Xenopus tropicalis: one gene and its partners. The protein of the gene in region 3 binds, or shares a complex with, the protein of the main gene of each other region. Links are inferred from orthologs where the notes say so. Each region holds a gene or a part of one and is shown on either strand. Other genes may lie near its edges.

Evidence for each region.
Region 1: the proteins of orc2 (region 3) and lrwd1 are in contact, whole or in part, in a crystal structure (PDB 8SIU), measured with the Rattus norvegicus proteins. The link is inferred for Xenopus tropicalis from reciprocal best matches to the Homo sapiens genes ORC2 and LRWD1. Residues at the interface, in NP_001012003.1 of Rattus norvegicus: Val11, Pro12, Ser13, Val14, Gln15, Phe16, Val17, Gly18, Asp19, Val22, Leu23, Ser24, His25, Ile26, Leu27, Asp28; in XP_038945348.1 of Rattus norvegicus: Pro262, Leu263, His264, Phe265, Leu266, Gln267, Cys268, Ser270, Asn273, Ser274, Pro275, Leu320, Val321, Leu322, His323, Lys324, Tyr325, Lys326, Leu367, Val369, Gly372, Phe373, Cys374, Pro596, Pro598, Val599, Ala600, Val605, Ile630.
Region 2: the proteins of orc2 (region 3) and orc5 are in contact, whole or in part, in a cryo-EM structure (PDB 7JPO), measured with the Homo sapiens proteins. The link is inferred for Xenopus tropicalis from reciprocal best matches to the Homo sapiens genes ORC2 and ORC5. Residues at the interface, in NP_006181.1 of Homo sapiens: Val240, Glu241, Tyr243, Phe244, Glu245, Ser248, Asp396, Gln398, Arg401, Gly402, Glu403, His426, Asn428, Ala429, Pro430, Leu431, Met432, Trp433, Asp434, His435, Gln438, Trp445; in NP_002544.1 of Homo sapiens: Asp324, Lys325, Phe328, Leu329, Leu359, Asp360, Arg361, Ala364, Tyr367, Ser368, Ala378, Asn379, Phe381, Ser382, Gln383, Thr385, Ser386, Thr389, Asp400, Gln401, Leu402, Asp403, Tyr407.
Region 4: the proteins of orc2 (region 3) and orc4 are in contact, whole or in part, in a cryo-EM structure (PDB 7JPP), measured with the Homo sapiens proteins. The link is inferred for Xenopus tropicalis from reciprocal best matches to the Homo sapiens genes ORC2 and ORC4. Residues at the interface, in NP_006181.1 of Homo sapiens: Asp501, Asp504, Tyr508, Ser512, Gln518, Glu522, Val554; in NP_001177808.1 of Homo sapiens: Lys168, Asn169, Arg195, Glu200, Leu201, Lys204, Arg205.
Region 5: the proteins of orc2 (region 3) and orc3 are in contact, whole or in part, in a cryo-EM structure (PDB 7JPO), measured with the Homo sapiens proteins. The link is inferred for Xenopus tropicalis from reciprocal best matches to the Homo sapiens genes ORC2 and ORC3. Residues at the interface, in NP_006181.1 of Homo sapiens: Leu239, Glu242, Tyr243, Ala246, His247, Asp268, Arg273, Leu276, Val279, Ser280, Phe283, Glu286, Leu287, Leu290, Lys296, Leu297, His299, Lys300, Met302, Leu303, Gln304, His306, Leu307, Phe309, Tyr314, Gly315, Leu316, Arg320, Glu324, Arg327; in NP_036513.2 of Homo sapiens: Thr3, Ser4, Ser5, Met6, Ser7, Lys8, Gly9, Cys10, Phe11, Val12, Phe13, Lys14, Pro15, Arg20, Ile22, Ile26, Tyr29, Phe30, Lys32, Tyr47, Val111, Thr112, Lys139, Asp318, Lys326, Gln329, Leu330, Leu333, Tyr337, Glu589.

The regions. Positions count from the first base shown.
Region 1 is NC_030678.2:46,208,386-46,212,208, forward strand, and holds part of lrwd1 (leucine-rich repeat and WD repeat-containing protein 1), read right to left. Parts: intron 1,215-3,823; coding exon 1,096-1,214; intron 1-1,095. UniProt on the Homo sapiens protein: Required for G1/S transition. Recruits and stabilizes the origin recognition complex (ORC) onto chromatin during G1 to establish pre-replication complex (preRC) and to heterochromatic sites in post-replicated cells.
Region 2 is NC_030682.2:120,319,455-120,323,277, forward strand, and holds part of orc5 (origin recognition complex subunit 5), read right to left. Parts: coding exon 3,782-3,823; intron 3,681-3,781; coding exon 3,590-3,680; intron 2,334-3,589; coding exon 2,281-2,333; intron 1,044-2,280; coding exon 931-1,043; intron 32-930; coding exon 1-31. UniProt on the Homo sapiens protein: Component of the origin recognition complex (ORC) that binds origins of replication. DNA-binding is ATP-dependent. The specific DNA sequences that define origins of replication have not been identified yet.
Region 3 is NC_030685.2:54,031,239-54,035,061, forward strand, and holds part of orc2 (origin recognition complex subunit 2), read right to left. Parts: intron 3,796-3,823; coding exon 3,663-3,795; intron 1,649-3,662; coding exon 1,552-1,648; intron 893-1,551; coding exon 746-892; intron 71-745; coding exon 1-70. UniProt on the Homo sapiens protein: Component of the origin recognition complex (ORC) that binds origins of replication. DNA-binding is ATP-dependent. The specific DNA sequences that define origins of replication have not been identified yet.
Region 4 is NC_030685.2:77,214,774-77,219,084, reverse strand, and holds the start of orc4 (origin recognition complex subunit 4), read right to left. Parts: upstream 3,057-4,311; 5' UTR 2,967-3,056; exon of another isoform or gene 2,955-2,966; intron 266-2,954; exon of another isoform or gene 252-265; intron 1-251. UniProt on the Homo sapiens protein: Component of the origin recognition complex (ORC) that binds origins of replication. DNA-binding is ATP-dependent. The specific DNA sequences that define origins of replication have not been identified yet.
Region 5 is NC_030681.2:86,911,454-86,915,276, forward strand, and holds part of orc3 (origin recognition complex subunit 3), read right to left. Parts: intron 3,531-3,823; coding exon 3,433-3,530; intron 2,478-3,432; coding exon 2,336-2,477; intron 1,832-2,335; coding exon 1,721-1,831; intron 511-1,720; coding exon 437-510; intron 1-436. UniProt on the Homo sapiens protein: Component of the origin recognition complex (ORC) that binds origins of replication. DNA-binding is ATP-dependent. The specific DNA sequences that define origins of replication have not been identified yet.

The DNA of each region.
Region 1 (3,823 bases), on a different chromosome or scaffold from region 3:
CTGCACCTACCCTGACCCCTCTGATGACAAGGGGCAGATTCATCAAAGTAAGAGTTCGAATGCCGAAATTGGTAAATATGATAATTACGATACGATAATTTCTGATGATCGGAAAGGTCACGAAAATGCTTACGAAAAAATCGTAATAGCCATGATAATATCGTGGTACGATCCGAAAGTCATTAAATTTTTGTATCCGAACGATTGTAAATGGCGGAAAAACCTTTCTGACTTTGATCTTTCTGTGCATGATTTTGAAAGCCTCCCATAGGACTCAATGGCACTCTGCAGCTCCAACCTGGCCCAAGGAAAGTCTCCCATAGGGCTCAATGGCACTCTGCAGCTCCAACCTGGCCCAAGGAAAGTCTCCCATAGGGCTCAATGGCACTCTGCAGCTCCAACCCGGCCCAAGGAAAGTCTCCCATAGGGCTCAATGGCACTCTGCAGCTCCAACCCGGCCCAAGGAAAGTCTCCCATAGGGCTCAATGGCACTCTGCAGCTCCAACCTGGCCCAAGGAAAGTCTCCCATAGGGCTCAATGGCACTCTGCAGCTCCAACCTGGCCCAAGGAAAGTCTCCCATAGGGCTCAATGGCACTCTGCAGCTCCAACCCGGCCCAAGGAAAGTCTCCCATAGGGCTCAATGGCACTCTGCAGCTCCAACCTGGCCCAAGGAAAGTCACAATACCGAAGCTTAAATGAATCCAAAACTTTCATACTCTGCATGACAAATACGATTTTGTTGCATAAATTTTGTCCCAAAGTATGAAAAAGTTGCACAAATTAACGAAAATAACGCAGAAAATATGCACAGTTCTATAAATTAGAAAAAATACAAATTATTTGTATTCGGACTCATTCGTACTTTCATAAATGTGCCCCTAAGAGTTGGCATGGATTGTCACTGGAAGGGAGGAGGTTGGTATGAGTGTGTCATCAACATGGAAGGGCCTTGCTTTAATAACAGCCCACTGCCTGCTCCAAGGCAAATTTCTCTGCACAAACATGTCTGGCCCACAGGTTTAGGGATTACCCACCTATTACTAGTGTCTGTATCTTAAATACCAAATATTGCTTTACATAGATAAGGTGAATACCTTTGTGGGTTCTTTAACAACACTGCATAATTTGCCTCTCTGTAGGTCTGCTTTGCAGGAATCAAGGTCATATATCCAAATCTTTCCATCTTCATCACCACAAAAAACACAGTATCTCTCTGTAAAAAAAATAAAAGACATGAGGGTTGATTTACTAAAGGTCGATAAGTTTTATTGCATGTATTTTTGCGTTAAAATTGAGGCGGAAAAAAATGCGCGATTTGCTTAAGTATTATCGCATGCGTTAATTAGCGAGCAGAAATAATACTAACGCATGATTCACAAACACTTAGATGCGCTAAATATCGCATTTGTCTGTGCAAAAAATAACACCTACTTGAGGCAGGCGGTAATTATAGAAAAGTACAGTTCATGAGCTTTTGGCAACACAATATGGACTTTGCAGTGGGATTTATTTAAGTCTGTGTTGGCCCCAGAGTGATGCAGCCTCCAGTTTGCAGGGAAATGGTCATTTTCATAAAAGTAGTTTTACAAAAGTAATGGCGTGTATGGCTTTTCGCACGCGGCGACTATTTGTGCGCAATGCGTTGATTAGCACGCGTTCCGTGAAATACCGCATAGAAATAGTCTTCACAACTTAAATAACGCAAGCAGCATCGCGTCTAAATTAACGCAAGTATGCTTTTAGTGAATCGTGAAAGACGCGAAAAATTGGACGCAATAACATTTTTAACACATGCTATAAATAGCGCACGTTTTAACGCACTTTAGTGAATCAGCCCTATGTTTTTAAAAAAATGTATATGGTGTAGCATGGTTGGGAAAATCATAGAAGGAAAGTATATCCCTCCCAGAATCCTTTATGAAGTAGCACAGAAGGCTGTGAAATTAAGGCTGATGCCACATGTGGCGTTTTTCCGCTGCGTTTTTTCTCTGCCTAAAAACGCCGCACAAGCCACACAGCCCCTGACTATGGTGTTTTTCAGCCTAGTACTGGTGACGCAAGCAAATCCCGTTTCCATGGTGCTAATAGTGCGAAATAGCAAAAAACGCAGCGTATTTCCGCTAGGTCTGGCAGCTGCCTTTGCGTATACATAGGAATAGCTTGCTTTGCAAATACTGGCGTATTTCGGCCTACGCTTGAAAAATCCGTGCTAAGGCGTTTTCTAGCGTATTTCCGCATTGTGTGGTTTGCTTCGCGTCTTTCCAAGTTATTTCTATGGATGATGGCATCAGCCTAAGGGTCTGTGCAGCTGTGAGGGCTGATTAGCCTCACCTGTAGTTAAAAATTGCTCCAAGTGTAGTGTCTGGGCTGCTTTCTCCTAGGAGAGAAGTGAGACACTGGAGCTGCATTGTGGGACTTATCCTGTTTGGGACCTGTTGGGAACTGTTTTCCTCTGAGAGCCAGAGGAATATTTATCCACAGAGGAGGACTGAGGGACTGAAGTGCAGCTGCTTCTGAGAAAGCACAGGAATACTCCAAAAGACTGTGACTGTAACCTGCATTTACCTATATTGGCTTATTCTGCCCAAGTGTGGCTGTGTGCGTCCCCTGGGAAGGACAGTTTTCAGTTCATCGAGACTGCTACTTTTTGATTGTATTTGGCATATCAGCTGTATGATTTCTGTCAAGCCTGCTGTGTTAAATAAACTTACACCAAAATTCAGCTTGTGTACCTGTCTCTTATGTGTGTGAAAGGAGCTGCCGCTTCTACCTAAAGAGCTAAATCCTCACAATGCATCTATTTATCATTCCTCAACTTGCAAAGTCAGCCCCATATAGAAGCATTATATTCTTTTGATAATGTAGATATGGTTTCTGAATAGCTTCCAAGTAAAGGGAGTCTATGGGAGCACAAATACACTGTGCAGATGCAACATCTTACTTTGCAGGGACAGGTTCACCAACTATTGTTCCATTCACATAAGATGGAGTGCTTCCACCAGTATAAAGTACCTATAAGGGTAAGGTGCCTCCTGGTGTAAAGGCCCCCAACTGCCAGGGGCCCAAAAATGTGCCACTTCTCACTGCTTCACAGATTTGCCAAAGGTATTTTTGTTTTTTTGCATACAGGAGGACTCCTGACTAGGGATGTAGCGAACATCGCCAAAAATGTTCACGAACCCGTTCGCGGACTTTCGCCAAAACTCGCAAATATTCGCGAACTTTGCGAACCCCATAGACTTCAATGGGAAGGCGAACTTTAAAACCTAGAAAAGCCATTTCTGGCCAGAAAACTGATTTTAAAGTTGTTTAAAGGGTGCCACGACCTGGACAGCGGCATGCAGGAGGGGGATCAAGGGCAAAAATTTATCTGAAAAATACTTTGTAAAAAAAACGCCAAAAAAAAAAAAACGCAAGCTATTCCTATGTATACGCAAAGGCGAAAAACCGAAGCGAAAAAACGCGGCGGAAAAAACCGAGGCAAACAAACGTGGCGCAAAAAAAAACCGCGGCGAACCCAAAATGGCGAACATCTCCAAAAGTTCGTGAATTTGCGGACTTGCGAACACCCGATGTTCGCGCGAATTAGTTCGCCAGCGAACAGTTCGCTACATCTCTACTCCTGACAGCTATTAGTGCATAAAAACATAATATAAAATTTAGCAATTAATCTAAATCTACAAACAACTTTTTTTTTTAACAGAATGTAAAATATGTTTTTGTTACTTTTGATGTAAAGTTCTCTGTGATATAATTCACCGCTCTGCTTTGTATTGGATATTTTATTTGATGTCCCACGGAGCAGTTTAGTTGCCTGCAATA
Region 2 (3,823 bases), on a different chromosome or scaffold from region 3:
GAAAATCGGTTTTCTTAATTTTCCCATGATGCTAAAAGGACAAGAAAAAGAATCTGAATAGATAATAACCAAAATATTTTTACTCTGATCATTACTTACAGGTTTTATATCACAGGAAGGCATAAAAGGCAAAATAAACAGAAGGTAAACTAAATTATGGGGAAAAGATTGCAATTTAATAGGTAAGACAATGTAGCTTGCATCTAGATCTGAGCACACTGGCAGGCTCTAACAGTAGAAGCTAAAATAGGCTTGTCTGATCCATAAGCAACTGCTTGGAATCGGATACACCGAAAAGTAGTAGAGCCGCTATGTAATTTCACAAAGCTGAACCCCCTATACATTTCTGCTCTGATCAAGAATTGGCCTATTATTAAAGCCCCACTAGGAACCCATCTTCAAAGTAAGTGAATCCAGTACCTCACTGAAATTACCCAGAGACAGAACTGTGATAGAGTCTCTAAACTTACTACTTCTGGGCTTTCCTCTTCCATTTTTAGGCAAGTGCTTGCTTGGATCCACATAAAGAGAACCGATTTCTACATACCCACAAAATCACGTTTACAGCAGAAGCCAATGGTGAGCCAAAGCTCAATTAATATACTGTCCAAAAACTCAGTGCAGAGTAAAAACTTGTCAAGTGCCTATACTGTGGATCCATGCTCTTCCCTTTGCTTGAGAAGTGGGACGAGCCAAAGAGCAGGAAATACAGATGACCAGAGCTCTGTCGCTGGGTAAGTATTGGGGGAGGCTTCTCTTGGGGCTGTCTCTTGTTCTGTCCTCGCTACATTATAAAGAAATATTCCACAAAGCTACTCAGTAAGTTGCCTATTATACCTAAGCGTATTGTATTGTTTGCTCCATAACACACTTCTGTTTCATGCCACCTCGAAGCAGGGCTCATGCTGGAAAGCAAAGTTAACACAATACCTTTAGGAAAAACCTTTTGTCTGTTCTTGCAGGGTTGAAGGATGCTAAATAGGCAGCGATGAGAAGGAATTTGGAATAGTAAGGTAACTCTACATGAGCATGTGCAGATAACCCTAAAGAGGAAATAACAGTTTCAGGCTTTTTAGTATAAAACATGGATAGTGATAAGGCAAAATTACTGTTACGGTGGAAGCAAACTGGTACGACAGTCTAAGGCCATGGCCTATGGTGAGATTAGTTGCCTGTGGTTTATTTCAGCTACCGTGGGTACCTTTTCTCCCTGAAAGGCCTTTTCAACAGCAATAAAGTTAATTGCTGGTGGAAAGGTATACAGGGTGCTTCTTTATTTGATGTTGCCCGAAGCTTTCTCCTGTAGGAAACTTCCCACCGGAAATTCACTTAATTACCAGTGGGAAGGCCTTCTGGAATATTAGTTATTATTATTAACATTTATTTATAAAGCGCCAACATATTCCGCAGAGCTGTAAAATAGGTGGATTACATACATTGGACATACAGAGTAACATATAAAGCAACCAATAACTAATATAGGAGGTGAAGAGATCCCTGCCCAAAAGAGCTTACAATCTACAAGTTACCCACGGCAGCCAAGATCTAACAACGTGGCAATTAATCTTCCCAATGGCCCATGGCCCTAACAGGCTAATAAGTGCAGAAGAACAAAGTTTCATATTTTTGGCTCCAGAAGGAAATAGCTTATGTCTTTAATAGATTTGTGCAAAAATCTGGCCACTGAATCTAGTCACAAAAGATATACCGGACAGCTAAAGAAATAGCAGCTAGCCAAATACAGTAAGATATTGAGGACATGCTAAAGCAGTAAAGCTGGCAATGTACCGTTCAGTATGTCCTGCGTACTCTCAAGACTGATTTATCAACTAATTTTGCCATGCATAAGGCCAGAAGGAAAGCTTCACTGATATTTGGAGGACCACCATGGGCCATAGATGAGGTTCTCTCCTAAAAGGTCTGCACAAACCATATGACATGATCATTAACGTAAGCACCAAACAATCAGGTCAGCCTCATTTTCCCCACCTCCTGGCAACCTCACCAAAGATTATCCTAGCCTAACTGGCCAGCTGAAGACAGTAACACAATGTGTACTTGGATAGTTATTTTAAAGAGATCAACAAACCTTAAGCTTAAACAGTGTCGTTGTTCACATAGTTAACCACCAGGTTCTGCTGCAGAACCAGAACATATGAATAAAGTCCATCACTACAAGAAGCCAAATATTAGTGCCATTTTATTCAGTCACTTCCATAAATTCACTGCAGGTTTGTTTTGGTATCAGAAAGGTTATTATTCCTCTGGTGCAGACTATACCTTTGAGGTGGGATGCTTCTCTGTCTTCTTGCTGGATTCTCTCCCACTGCGAACTGAAATAAAAAGTACATTACCTAATCAACAGCTTTTTATAAACACTTTATTGCTGTAGCCCCTAAATTGCAGAATTCAATTTATCATAAAGTAGAGAGTTGTGTGGAAATTAAAACCATACAGTAAATAAAAACTCTTTCAGAAAAATATGGATATTCAAACAAAATTCACCAAAAGCACCACACTGGCTCAAGCTGTGCATCAACATCACGTCAGTCGGCTGCCTGATACACAGAAGGGCAAGGGGGGATATGACCATGCCTAAAAATTGATACCACTATACCCCCCAGAATGAATACTTAACCAACAGAAAGTTTATATCATATTAAGTGACCTATTAAAGGATCTCGCCAAACAAATATATCAGTAAATATTGCCCTTCTACATCTCTTTCTTTGAGGCATTTTGTGTTGGTCTGTGTGCCCCCTCAAAGATCACCTGAGAGGAAATAATGCAGCTCTAACTGTAACAGGAAGAAATGTGGGAGTAAAAGCCCATTCATTGGCTGATGTGACCTAGCAGTATGTTTGCCTTGACTTGTTTGTGTGCACTGTGAATCCTATGATCCCAGGAGGCAGCCCTTAATTCTTAAAATGGCAGTTTTCTATTTAGGATTACCCAATAGCACATACTACTAAAAAAGTATATTTTTAGGAAAATTGTTTATTTACATATGATCTGGTTTATGCAATATATTTTTATAGAGACCTACATTGTTTGGGGTATAGTTTCTCTTTAAACCAGTGACTATTAAGAATATAAGTGTTCGTGTTCTGAAGGCAGGAATCAAGGAGGCATCAATCCATATGCTGGCCTCCTTGTAGCATTGCATTCACTGCCTTCTGAAATCTTTTATTGATGGAAAATAGTGCCTGCTTTTCCAGTATGTTTGGACTGTACAGTATATGCCCCAGATGGAACAAGTCCCAACCCGAACTATGAATGCAGCTCAGAATGGCTTTTCCAGCTGCAACAAACTCATTCAGCTGCATCAAACTTTCCTTTTCAGATAAAAAATAGGGATGCACCGAACCCACCCCGATGGATTCTGCTGCATCCGAACTTGAATCCGAATCCAAATTAGCATATGCTTAGCTAAGCTAAGCACAGGGAGTCTTACTCAGAAGACATATGTTCATCCAGGTTGATAGCCTTTTGGTCTACCTGTATCCCGGTTAATTGTGTAGCACTCTCACTGGCAAGTCCAAGGCATGCGGAAAATTATATTAATGTGAAATGGTTATCAATGTCTTACCTTGATATCTCCCGGAGATAGACAGTCTGCATGGCTCTTTTCAAATGTGGCTCAATATTTTTCCACAGTTTATGAGAATCACTTTCCTTTGCTTTAAACAAAAAATTAAAAATGTTTACACACCTCTAAAATGGTATAAAAAAAAAAAACAACTTATGAAGCGGCTTCTGAAATACAAGCAAGAAACTCTACCTTCTCCTTTTATCACTGGCTCACAGAATTTTGGGAAGTTCA
Region 3 (3,823 bases):
ACATACGAGTTGAAAGTGGTTGTTTCATACCACAGCCAATTATATAAACTTTGCTTTGACTGATCCCACACTGAAAAAAAAATCAAAGGGGCTGTTACCTTGAAATTAACTTTTAGTATGTTGTACAGAGTACTATTTTGAAACAAATTTTAATTGTTCTAAGTGGAAATCTTGCTGAGAACTATAACATAATTCTATAAACATACTAAAAGTTATCTTATACGTGAAAAACCACTTTAAAATCGGGTCCTCCAATCAAAATCATATTTTTGCATAGTGAAAAATTTAATTTCTTTAGGAGTTTAGAATACGGATACAGTTTTGGGTTTAGTTATCCGGAAACACGATATCCAGAAAGCTGCGAATTACAGGAAGCCCGTGTCCCATAGACTCCATTTTAATCAAATAATTCAGATTTTTAAAATTGATTTCCTTTTTATCTGTAAAAATAAAACAGTGCTTTGTTTTTTATCTCAACTAAGATATAATTAATCCTTACTGGATGTAATATAATCCTATTGGGTTTAATTACTGTTTGATTTCTTAGACTTAAAGGTATGAAGATCCAAATTATGGAAAGACCCCTTCTCCGGAATACCATTGGTCCCAAGCATTTTTAATAGACCTGTACTGATACTCTAGCCTGTCTATATTTAAAGTTTATGTTCACTTTAGGTAATTCTGGCTGAACAGTAAGGTATGACTTTATGTAAAAAGTTTAATATATTTAAAGTCTAACACTTACTAAGAGGAGCATTTATGTGGTCTACAGAAGCAAGAAGGTGAAAGTTAGGAATAGAAGCCAATTGACCAAGGACCTGCTGACATTTTTCCCCTCGTAACATCTGGCTGTCCAGGTTATGAATAAGAAGATAAAGTTCTAGTGAGGGATCTGTGAAAAAAAGTAAAAAGTTATCACTTCTGGAACTACTGTAAATTAGAGAAATATAATCTATTTGAAATATAATGTCATTTGAAACAAAACTGGTTCATTTGCTTTGAAAAGTCATTTATTCCTATACAAAACTTTTATACAATATATCAAACATTTTTGCTTTGGAGCCTGGCTAAGCTAACAAAACTTGCGCAAATATTTCTGTTCACCTATTTTGCACCTACTTATTGCCCATATAAGGTAAACAAATAATAAACCAATGCTATTAATGCAAATTATTGCCCCTTTTCTGTTAAGATGCTATTATGATCTCTGAAGTCGCAGAGCAGAGTTTCCCATTTAAAAAACAGAAATTAGTCTCTAAAAGTTACTAGAGACAACTTTTTGCCACCCCTGTTAACAGGACAGTCCTTACTGTCTCTGGTAACTGGTCACGTTTTGCCACCTGAGGCATATTAAGAAGAGGGAGTTGCCGCACCTTACCAGGGACAATTCTTCCTAGACTTAAACAAAACATGTCATCTATTTCTGACCAGTAATGATTCTGTATATATATATTGTAAGTTCAGGAGTATGTGTGTTATGTTTTGACATATGTGCCAGAGAATACCATGCTGACATTATAACTACATTACACTGAAACAACTTCTTATTACCTTCTTTAAATCTCTGTAAAATAAAGTCCATTTGATCTAAAGGGCTCCGAAATGTTCCAGGATGACCTAATGCTTCCTCTGTGATGGAGTTTAGAATCTGAAAAGATGGAAGAGGAAGAATTCATGCAGAAAAATAAAACAAACTCTAAACAATTTATTGGGAAGACTTACCAGCCATAGTACCATGTGCAACACGTAAAAGGAGGGGATCTAAGGATCGCAGCCTTAAGGTCCCCATACACGGTAAGATCTGCTCGCTTGGCGAGATCACCAAGCGAGCGGATCTTCCCCCGATATCCCCACCTACGGGTCCAAGGGACCGATATCGGCAGCTTCTATCGGCCCGTGTATGGGGGCCTTTAGGATACTTCTTTAGAAGGGATCTGAAGAAGTAGCCTGTGGCTAAAGGCCCCCAGAAAACGAGCGGGCTGGCCGACCGATTAATGGCCTGAAATTGGGCAGATATCGATCTGCCAGGTTAGAAAATCCAGTCGGATCGGGGACCGCATCGGCTCGTTGATGCGGTCCCCGAACCGACTGCCCCATTGCCGCCTACATAATCTTATTATTTTTTTTTTTAACTTCCGCTCGCTTGGCGATCTTACCGTGTATGGGGACCTTTAGTAATGCGTAAACCGTGTGATCTCCTCTGCAAACCTTTTTATTGCATGTGATGCACAATGGTTTCAAACAAACAATAAAGATACGGTGCACTGTTTGCTTTATTATAGAAGAAAAATAAAAAAACCAGTACACTATAAACCTGTGCTTTTCTCTGGTCGGACATCAGAGAATGGCTTAGGTAAACCATGCCCATTCACTTAAAAAACCAAAAACACACAACAATCTTTATGGGTATAGCGTAGCGTTAAAACTTGCGCAAAAAGTTGCGTTTTTTTCGTAGCGTTAAAACTTAAGCGAAACTTCTCACCTTTTAAGTTTTAACGCTACGAAAAAGGCGCAACTTTTCGTGTAAGTTTTAACGCTACGGAAAAATCGGGCGATTTCACGCAACTTTCGTAATGGCTACGAAAAACTCGCGTTTTTACGCAAAAATCGTATTGGTAACGAAAAATTCGTAAAGACGCCGAAAAAATTGCAAAAAATACGAAAAAGTCGCAAAATGTTCGTTTCCAAGTCGGAACTTTTCCAATTCGGGTCGGATTCGTGGGTTAGTAAATCAGCCCCTTAGTGTTTCTTCGTGTAAACTAATATTTCTTAGCTGGCCAACTGCACCATAGTAGTAAAAAATTAAATCTCAAAGACAAAGACCCCAGATCTCCAGATGACTTGGAGTTGCTCACAAATGAATGCTTACTGAAGAGGCAGTGGCATATTGGCCACCAGAGGTTTGCCTGCATGTCTTTGTAGACAATCTATTTCACTAAACAAGACAACTATAATCACCTCATGTATTCAATTCCAGAGAAAAAGTCCAGAGAAATATGAAAAAGTCTGTGTCCCTTGGCTAGATACAAACTCAGATATGGCATATAAATGTTTATTTTATTTTAGTACTGTTTAATTTATTTTTTACTACTGACTGTAAACACCTTGTATATGTACAATATACATTCTGTAAATTCTTATACCAATTCATCTGTAAAATCCTCATCTCTAAGGGCATGTTCCATTTTCAATGAACAATGACTCATTTTAAATGAATAAAAAATCTATTTTAAAACAAATAAATCTGTCTATACAGTATAAACACCCAAATTCACTATATAAAACCCACTATATATATATCACATGTGTCTAAGCCTCTAATTCTCCTATCAAGTAATTTTAACTCTCATGCCATACTCTTGTTCCTTCTTCCTATTTTCTTTCTTTGGGCCATGTAAGGTTTCCTGCCATGCTCTTAAAGACTCAGTCTGATGCTCGATGAGTGATTTGTCTGAATTGACTTTCAAATTTTTAATTTCCCCTGTCAGCCTAAATTGTGATAATTATTACTAATAATACATATTTATAGCAAGTCCCTCAGTACAGTAACTCCTCAATAGTCAAACTGTACATTGGAACACCTGTGACTAGACAAATGACTTGTGCGAATAATATGATTTAGTGTAATCAACAAGAATGCATTTATTAAAATGCCCACTTACAGATTTCACTGTAATACTAGGGAAAAATCCATTAACAACGATATTAAGGGAATCCTGAAGCAGAGATGTACGAAACTTCTCAATCAAGTTTTGTTTGGAGCCAAGGCCAAAGAGGATAATATTGAACCCCAAGCTATATAAAAAAAAATATTATATTATAT
Region 4 (4,311 bases), about 23 Mb from region 3:
GAATGCTAGGCTACATAGCCATACCCTTGTCTCTGTGCCTACCTGCTCTCCTCTGCCCAATGTGTACCCGTATACCCCCTTACCTACTCGCATACCCCCTCACCTACCCGTATACCCCCTTACCTACTCGCATACCCCCTCACCTACCCGCATACCCCATCACCTACCCGCACACCCCCCATACCTACCCGCACACCCCCCATACCTACCCGCACACCCCCCATACCTACCCGCACACCCCCCATACCTACCCGCACACCCCCCATACCTACCCGCACAGCCCCCATACCTACCCGCACAGCCCCCATACCTACCCGCACAGCCCCCATACCTACCCGCACAGCCCCTCACCTACCCGCACAGCCCCTCACCTACCCGCACAGCCCCTCACCTACCCGCACAGCCCCTCACCTACCCGCACAGCCCCTCACCTACCCGCACAGCCCCTCACCTACCCGCACAGCCCCTCACCTACCCGCACAGCCCCTCACCTACCCGCACAGCCCCTCACCTACCCGCACAGCCCCATACCTACCCGCACAGCCCCATACCTACCCGCACAGCCCCTCACCTACCCGCACAGCCCCTCACCTACCCGCACAGCCCCATACCTACCCGCACAGCCCCTCACCTACCCGCACAGCCCCATACCTACCCGCACAGCCCCATACCTACCCGCACAGCCCCATACCTACCCGCACAGCCCCATACCTACCCGCACAGCCCCATACCTACCCGCACAGCCCCTCACCTACCCGCTCACCTACCCGCACAGCCCCTCACCTACCCGCACCTACCCGCACAGCCCCTCACCTACCCGCACAGCCCCTCACCTACCCGCACAGCCCCTCACCTACCCGCACAGCCCCTCACCTACCCGCACAGCCCCTCACCTACCCGCACAGCCCCTCACCTACCCGCACAGCCCCTCACCTACCCGCACAGCCCCTCACCTACCCGCACAGCCCCATACCTACCCGCACAGCCCCATACCTACCCGCACAGCCCCATACCTACCCGCACAGCCCCTCACCTACCCCGCACAGCCCCTCACCTACCCGCACAGCCCCTCACCTACCCGCACAGCCCCTCACCTACCCGCACAGCCCCATACCTACCCGCACAGGCCCATACCTACCCGCACAGCCCCATACCTACCCGCACAGCCCCTCACCTACCCGCACAGCCCCATACCTACCCGCACAGCCCCTCACCTACCCGCACAGCCCCTCACCTACCCGCACAGCCCCATACCTACCCGCACAGCCCCTCACCTACCCGCACAGGCCCTCACCTACCCGCACAGCCCCTCACCTACCCGCACAGCCCCATACCTACCCGCACAGCCCCTCACCTACCCGCACAGCCCCATACCTACCCGCACAGCCCCATACCTACCCGCACAGCCCCTCACCTACCCGCACAGCCCCTCACCTACCCGCACAGCCCCTCACCTACCCGCACAGCCCCTCACCTACCCGCACAGCCCCTCACCTACCCGCACAGCCCCTCACCTACCCGCACAGCCCCTCACCTACCCGCACAGCCCCTCACCTACCCGCACAGCCCCTCACCTACCCGCACAGCCCCATACCTACCCGCACAGCCCCATACCTACCCGCACAGCCCCTCACCTACCCGCACAGCCCCCATACCTACCCGCACAGCCCCTCACCTACCCGCACAGCCCCATACCTACCCGCACAGCCCCTCACCTACCCGCACAGCCCCATACCTACCCGCACAGCCCCTCACCTACCCGCACAGCCCCCATACCTACCCGCACAGCCCCTCACCTACCCGCACAGCCCCATACCTACCCGCACAGCCCCTCACCTACCCGCACAGCCCCTCACCTACCCGCACAGCCCCATACCTACCCGCACAGCCCCATACCTACCCGCACAGCCCCATACCTACCCGCACAGCCCCTCACCTACCCGCACACCTACCCGCACAGCCCCTCACCTACCCGCACAGCCCCATACCTACCCGCACAGCCCCATACCTACCCGCACAGCCCCTCACCTACCCGCACAGCCCCTCACCTACCCGCACAGCCCCTCACCTACCCGCACAGCCCCTCACCTACCCGCACAGCCCCTCACCTACCCGCACAGCCCCATACCTACCCGCACAGCCCCTCACCTACCCGCACAGCCCCATACCTACCCGCACAGCCCCATACCTACCCGCACAGCCCCTCACCTACCCGCACAGCCCCTCACCTACCCGCACAGCCCCATACCTACCCGCACAGCCCCATACCTACCCGCACAGCCCCTCACCTACCCGCACAGCCCCTCACCTACCCGCACAGCCCCATACCTACCCGCCACAGCCCCTCACCTACCCGCACAGCCCCTCACCTACCCGCACAGCCCCTCACCTACCCGCACAGCCCCTCACCTACCCGCCACAGCCCCTCACCTACCCGCACAGCCCCATACCTACCCGCACAGCCCCTCACCTACCCGCACAGCCCCCATACCTACCCGCACAGCCCCATACCTACCCGCACAGCCCCTCACCTACCCGCACAGCCCCATACCTACCCGCACAGCCCCTCACCTACCCGCACAGCCCCTCACCTACCCGCACAGCCCCTCACCTACCCGCACAGCCCCATACCTACCCGCACAGCCCCTCACCTACCCGCACAGCCCCATACCTACCCGCACAGCCCCATACCTACCCGCACAGCCCTCACCTACCCGCACAGCCCCTCACCTACCCGCACAGCCCCATACCTACCCGCACAGCCCCATACCTACCCGCACAGCCCCTCACCTACCCGCACAGCCCCTCACCTACCCGCACAGCCCCATACCTACCCGCACAGCCCCTCACCTACCCGCACAGCCCCTCACCTACCCGCACAGCCCCTCACCTACCCGCACAGCCCCTCACCTACCCGCACAGCCCCTCACCTACCCGCACAGCCCCATACCTACCCGCACACCTACCGGCCCCTCCCGTAAGTCCCCCTGTTCTTGCAGCTCCAGTCCGTACATGTGACTCCCCACAGCCTCACTCCCTCCCTTTCTGCAGTTCCCTTGGTGACAGAATTCCCAAGCTTGAACTTCCTCTTGTCCTCACTTCCGGGTGCTGCTGGTTTCCGGTTCCTGTCAGGCTGCGGAGTACTGTGGGTCCCCCCTCCCCGGCCTGCCCGGGACATGCGCAGTTGGCACACTCCCATCTTTCTCCTGAGAAGCCAGAGAAGCAGAAGCAGCTGAGAGGGAAGCTGACACAGGCTCCGGGACGGATTCTCCCCATTCCCCGACTGGATGCACTGACGGGCCCGCTCCTCATTCCCTCCGGCTCCCAGCTTGCTACGGGCCGAGCTGTCGGGGTGCGGAGGCCGGGGGGAGAAGGCTGCCATTACCGGGCCTGGGCCGCACCGAGCAATAGGAACGGAGCGCAGGGAGCAGCCTGTGTGGGTGTGAGTGGGCACTTGGCTCCTGGGGCTGGTGTATGGCCTTGTGTGCAGCTCCGCCCGGGGTGCGTCCTGGGGCCCCTAACCTGGAGGGACATCTGCAGCTAACTGGTAAGTGAGGGGTTAAACCCCCCCCCCCCGAGTCATTAGGGAGTAATAGCAGCAATCCCTGTCTGGGTGATGGGCCTGTACCTGTATGGGGGAGTGAGGGGTCACACCGGTACTTCCTGGGTGAGTGAGGGGTCACACCGGTACTTCCTGGGTGAGTGAGGGGTCACACCGGTACTTCCTGGGTGGGTGAGTGAGGGACCAATGCAGTTACTCCTGGGTGAGTGAGTGAGGGACCAATGCAGTTACTCCTGGGTGAGTGAGTGAGGGACCAATGCAGTTACTCCTGGGTGAGTGAGTGAGGGACCAATGCAGTTACTCCTGGGTGAGTGAGTGAGGGACCAATGCAGTAGCTCCTGGGTGAGTGAGTGAGGGACCAATGCAGTTACTCCTGGGTGAGTGAGTGAGGGACCAATGCAGTTACTCCTGGGTGGGTGAGTGAGGGACCAATGCAGTTACTCCTGGGTGAGTGAGTGAGGGACCAATGCAGTTACTCCTGGGTGAGTGAGTGAGGGACCAATGCAGTTACTCCTGGGTGGGTGAGTGAGGGACAAATGCAGTTACTCCTGGGTGGGTGAGTGAGGGACCAATGCAGTTACTCCTGGGTGAGTGAGTGAGGGACCAATGCAGTTACTCCTGGGTGAGTGAGTGAGGGACCAATGCAGTTACTCCTGGGTGAGTGAGTGAGGGACCAATGCAGTTACTCCTGGGTGAGTGAGTGAGTGAGGGACCAATGCAGTTACTCCTGGGTGAGTGAGTGAGGGGCC
Region 5 (3,823 bases), on a different chromosome or scaffold from region 3:
GGGCAATATTTACTGATATATATATATATATATATATATATATATATATATATATTCCAGTTTGCCAAGATTCTTTAATAGGTCACAACATAATATAAACCTGTTGGTTAATTATTCATTCTGGGGGGTATAATTTTCCTTTAAATGATCTATGAAGAATAAAGCACTTCCTTCTATATCAGCACTACGCTAGGCCTGGAAACCAGATAAGGTGCTTAGAGTCAGGCTTTCAGATTTATGTATATATAGTGCACATGCTTCATTGATACCTAATGTTCCTTTAAAAGGTATCCTATGCTCCAGGAGAGCTCATACAAATAAAAGGTAGCATCAGCCTATGAGAAGATAAAAACCTTGCAATGCTGAGCTGGGACAGTGCACGGATTTACTCATCATTCGCTCATGGCTAAAAACCTTCTAAACACGCAAAGGATACTGGGTAACTTCATCAACCTGCTGAGCTGAATCCGAGTCACTTCCCTCGCCAGCATGGACCACAGTTGAAAAAGCCTGCAGAAAAGGGAAAATGTATTTTAGCAGTAAATACACAGGCAGGCATTTACTGTAATGCTCTGATTTTAGTGACCATGTAGCTACTGGGTTTTTTTTTTGTAAAACAAGACATCTGGCATTTTTTTTTATCTGATTCACATTGACAGCATTACTTACCTACTTAACTATGTCATGGTAATAATATAAATACTCTTTGAATGGAAGCTGCATTATTCCCCCTCAAAAAAATCTTTAGCAAAGGCCTTAGTGAGTAATCTGATATACAGTGAGTAGCATGTCTAGGAACCGGTTGCCATAGCATTTCTGAAGGTTTTAGATCACATTAACAGCAGCTCTGAATTCTAAGTCTCAGATATACTTAGGAACTGGATAATAGGAATAAAATGGGGCTGTGTATTATAGCAGATGTACAAGTATAAGGAACATGAAGCATAAAATGATTTACTTCTGGGTAGCAGCGAAGTGCAGATTCAGTGTATGTACTAGAAAAGCATTCACTAAAGGGAAAAGAGCACTGCTTTCATTTTCCTTTTATAGCAGGCGTATATAACCTGCAGCCCATTTGATTTCTGCTGTTCTGCTGTCAAGGCATGCTGGGAAATGGAGTTGAACAGCTGAAAGAAAGCCATCTGGTTCTACTTGTTTTTATAGTCTCAATAAATTGCACTTTTCCTTCTCTTGAATACAAAAAGCAACATGCTACAACTACAATTACCAGCGCAGTACACATAGTATAACTTATAAGGCCCCCCAAAATGTCTCACTGTCTAGTGCTGCAGGGCACACAAGTACATTGTGAAAGATATTTTATATTAAGGTCCTGTGCAATAAAAACTTTACCTTTAACATTAATACAAATATTATTTTAAAAACGTAATTAGAATATAATGTTCTGTTGCCCTGCATTGATAAAGGTGGTGTGTTTGGTTCAGCAACACTACTATAATTTATATTAATCAGATGCTGTGTAGCCAAGGGGGCAGCCATTTAAGCTGAAAAAATGAGAAAAGACACAGGTTACATAGCAAATAACATTATAGAGGATAGTTAGATGCCCTCCTTAATGAGTCTGTGGCTCATTTTCTACCAGTGTTAAAAAGAATACTACTGTGTCTATATCATATGAGTAGTAGTTCTATCTTAAATAAATATGGTGACGTAGCAAAACCCACTCCCAAAGAACAAAAATAATCCTGCTCTTACTTACCTCTAGCCAATCATAAAGATTTATCAGTCGTCCGCACTCAAGGTGTAACTTGTAGGCAATGCAGATATCTGGTGCTACATTGGAAACAGATCCAGCCTCGTTTTCCAATGTCTGAAAATATGAAATAGTGCAGGGAAAAGAAAAAGAACATAAGAATAGATTTATATTGTGCATAATACGTGTGTGCAGCACACACACATTTCAAAAGTATGACATAGGTCAAACTTTAGTTGTCCTTAAACATAAAAATGTGATGCAGACAAGCATTGTGGAAAATGTATTGTTGCACTGGAAACTGCATTTGCCATATATGTGCAATGAGGAGTGATGTGCTGTGGGAGCTACCAGAGTTGCTTTGGGAGATGCTAAGGATTATGCTGAACACCAAAATTTTACTGTTTGAAAGGGATAACAAAGATTGTTTGTAGTTATTGTGCTTTAGTGCAGTGCTGCCACAGGCTATGGTTTTATTCATTGTGGCAATTTTACTCACTAGTACAAGGCCTTGAATTTTATTATGTTAGTCTTAACACTATAGACATGAATGAGATTGCCATTTATCATAGTGCAGAACAGGTATACAAGACATAAAGATTACAGATATACTTAACTCACCTTCAAGTAAGAGGCTGGGTTGTTGAGAGCAGTGTGCAGGGCAACACGCGGGGCAGCATTAAGGTGTCTGCGAAGGGTGCTGGCCGCACTAAAATATACAACTTCATGCAAAGGCAGCATTTCAGGGGGCACAAGGTATTCTCTAAAATAGAAAGTTTTGATTGCTTGAGTGAATGGGTCCTCCATTAATGTAAATTACACAAAAAAACACACAGGCAAATACATATTGCTTGTTTATAGCCACATTCCAGCTTGGTCATAGAAATACAATAAGGTTTGTTATAATAAAGATATTTACACACTGCTGATTAGTTAAAGAGCCTTTAGGGCTCTAAAACATGGTGAGATTAGTCGCCCGCGATAAATCTCCATTGTCACAGGCGACTAATCTCCCCGAAATGCCATCCCACTGGCGAAAATGTAAATGGCCGGTGGCATAGCATACACGGCGCCACGATTTCCCCGAAATCGCAGAAGTTTCCTCTCAAGGCAAGTTTCCCCTTAGGGCTCTGGCACATGGGGAGATTAGTCGCCCACGACAAATCTCCTGTGTCACGGGCGACTAATCTCCCCAAAATGCCATCCCACCAGCGATTGTGGGGAAATTGTGGCGCCAAATATGCCGGTGGGATGGCATTTCGGGGAGATTTGTCGCGCGCGACTAATCTCACCGTGTGCCAGAGCCCTTAGTGACAGTCTGTAAATGCTAAACCAAATCTGAACCTAAATGTGCACATGACAGTATATATCACATGTTGACATTAGTAGGCTGGGGGAGTTTTTTTTGTTTTGCTATTTCCTCTTAGAGAACAGCATCCTAACCAAACAAGATTCCTGACCCCAGCATGCTGAGAAACAAAATATAAGCGAGAGTTGCCAATAACCATCTCTGAGTTACGCATTATGAAGCACTACATTGGTTTTAATGTGGACATGACTGTTGGCAACCCTGATGTAGTGGTTATTTTGTTTGCAAGGGGGTGCCGTTCCCCCAGGCTGTGTATCAGGCTGCTACTGAAGAGGAGAGGTCAGAAAGTGCTGGTGAATTATTTCTTAACCCTAATGTAGTACAGGCACTTAGCTAAAATGATACAAACCTTACGATACAGTCTATAAAGTCCACGACATCTTGTCGGAGCATCTCAAACTTTGTGAGTTTCTTAGCTCTTCTTGTTTCTTTCATTTCTAACAGTTTCTAGAAACATAGGGAGGTGGTTTAGAAACTTCAGAGAGTTATTCATTGCAGTTCTTACAGCCCAACATCAGGTTCTAATAAAAGTTCTCCACTGACCGTGTAACAAACTCATTTTACACACTAAAGATCTAAATCTGCCTTCCCCCCCGTATTTTTTTTGCTGAGTATAAGACACTTTCTTGCCTACCCAATGAAAACACACAGCTGTCATAATGAGGAACCTTATATGGGTTGCAGCAATCCATATGGTCACTGCTGATACTGCTTACAAAATACTATTTCCTATACTCTGC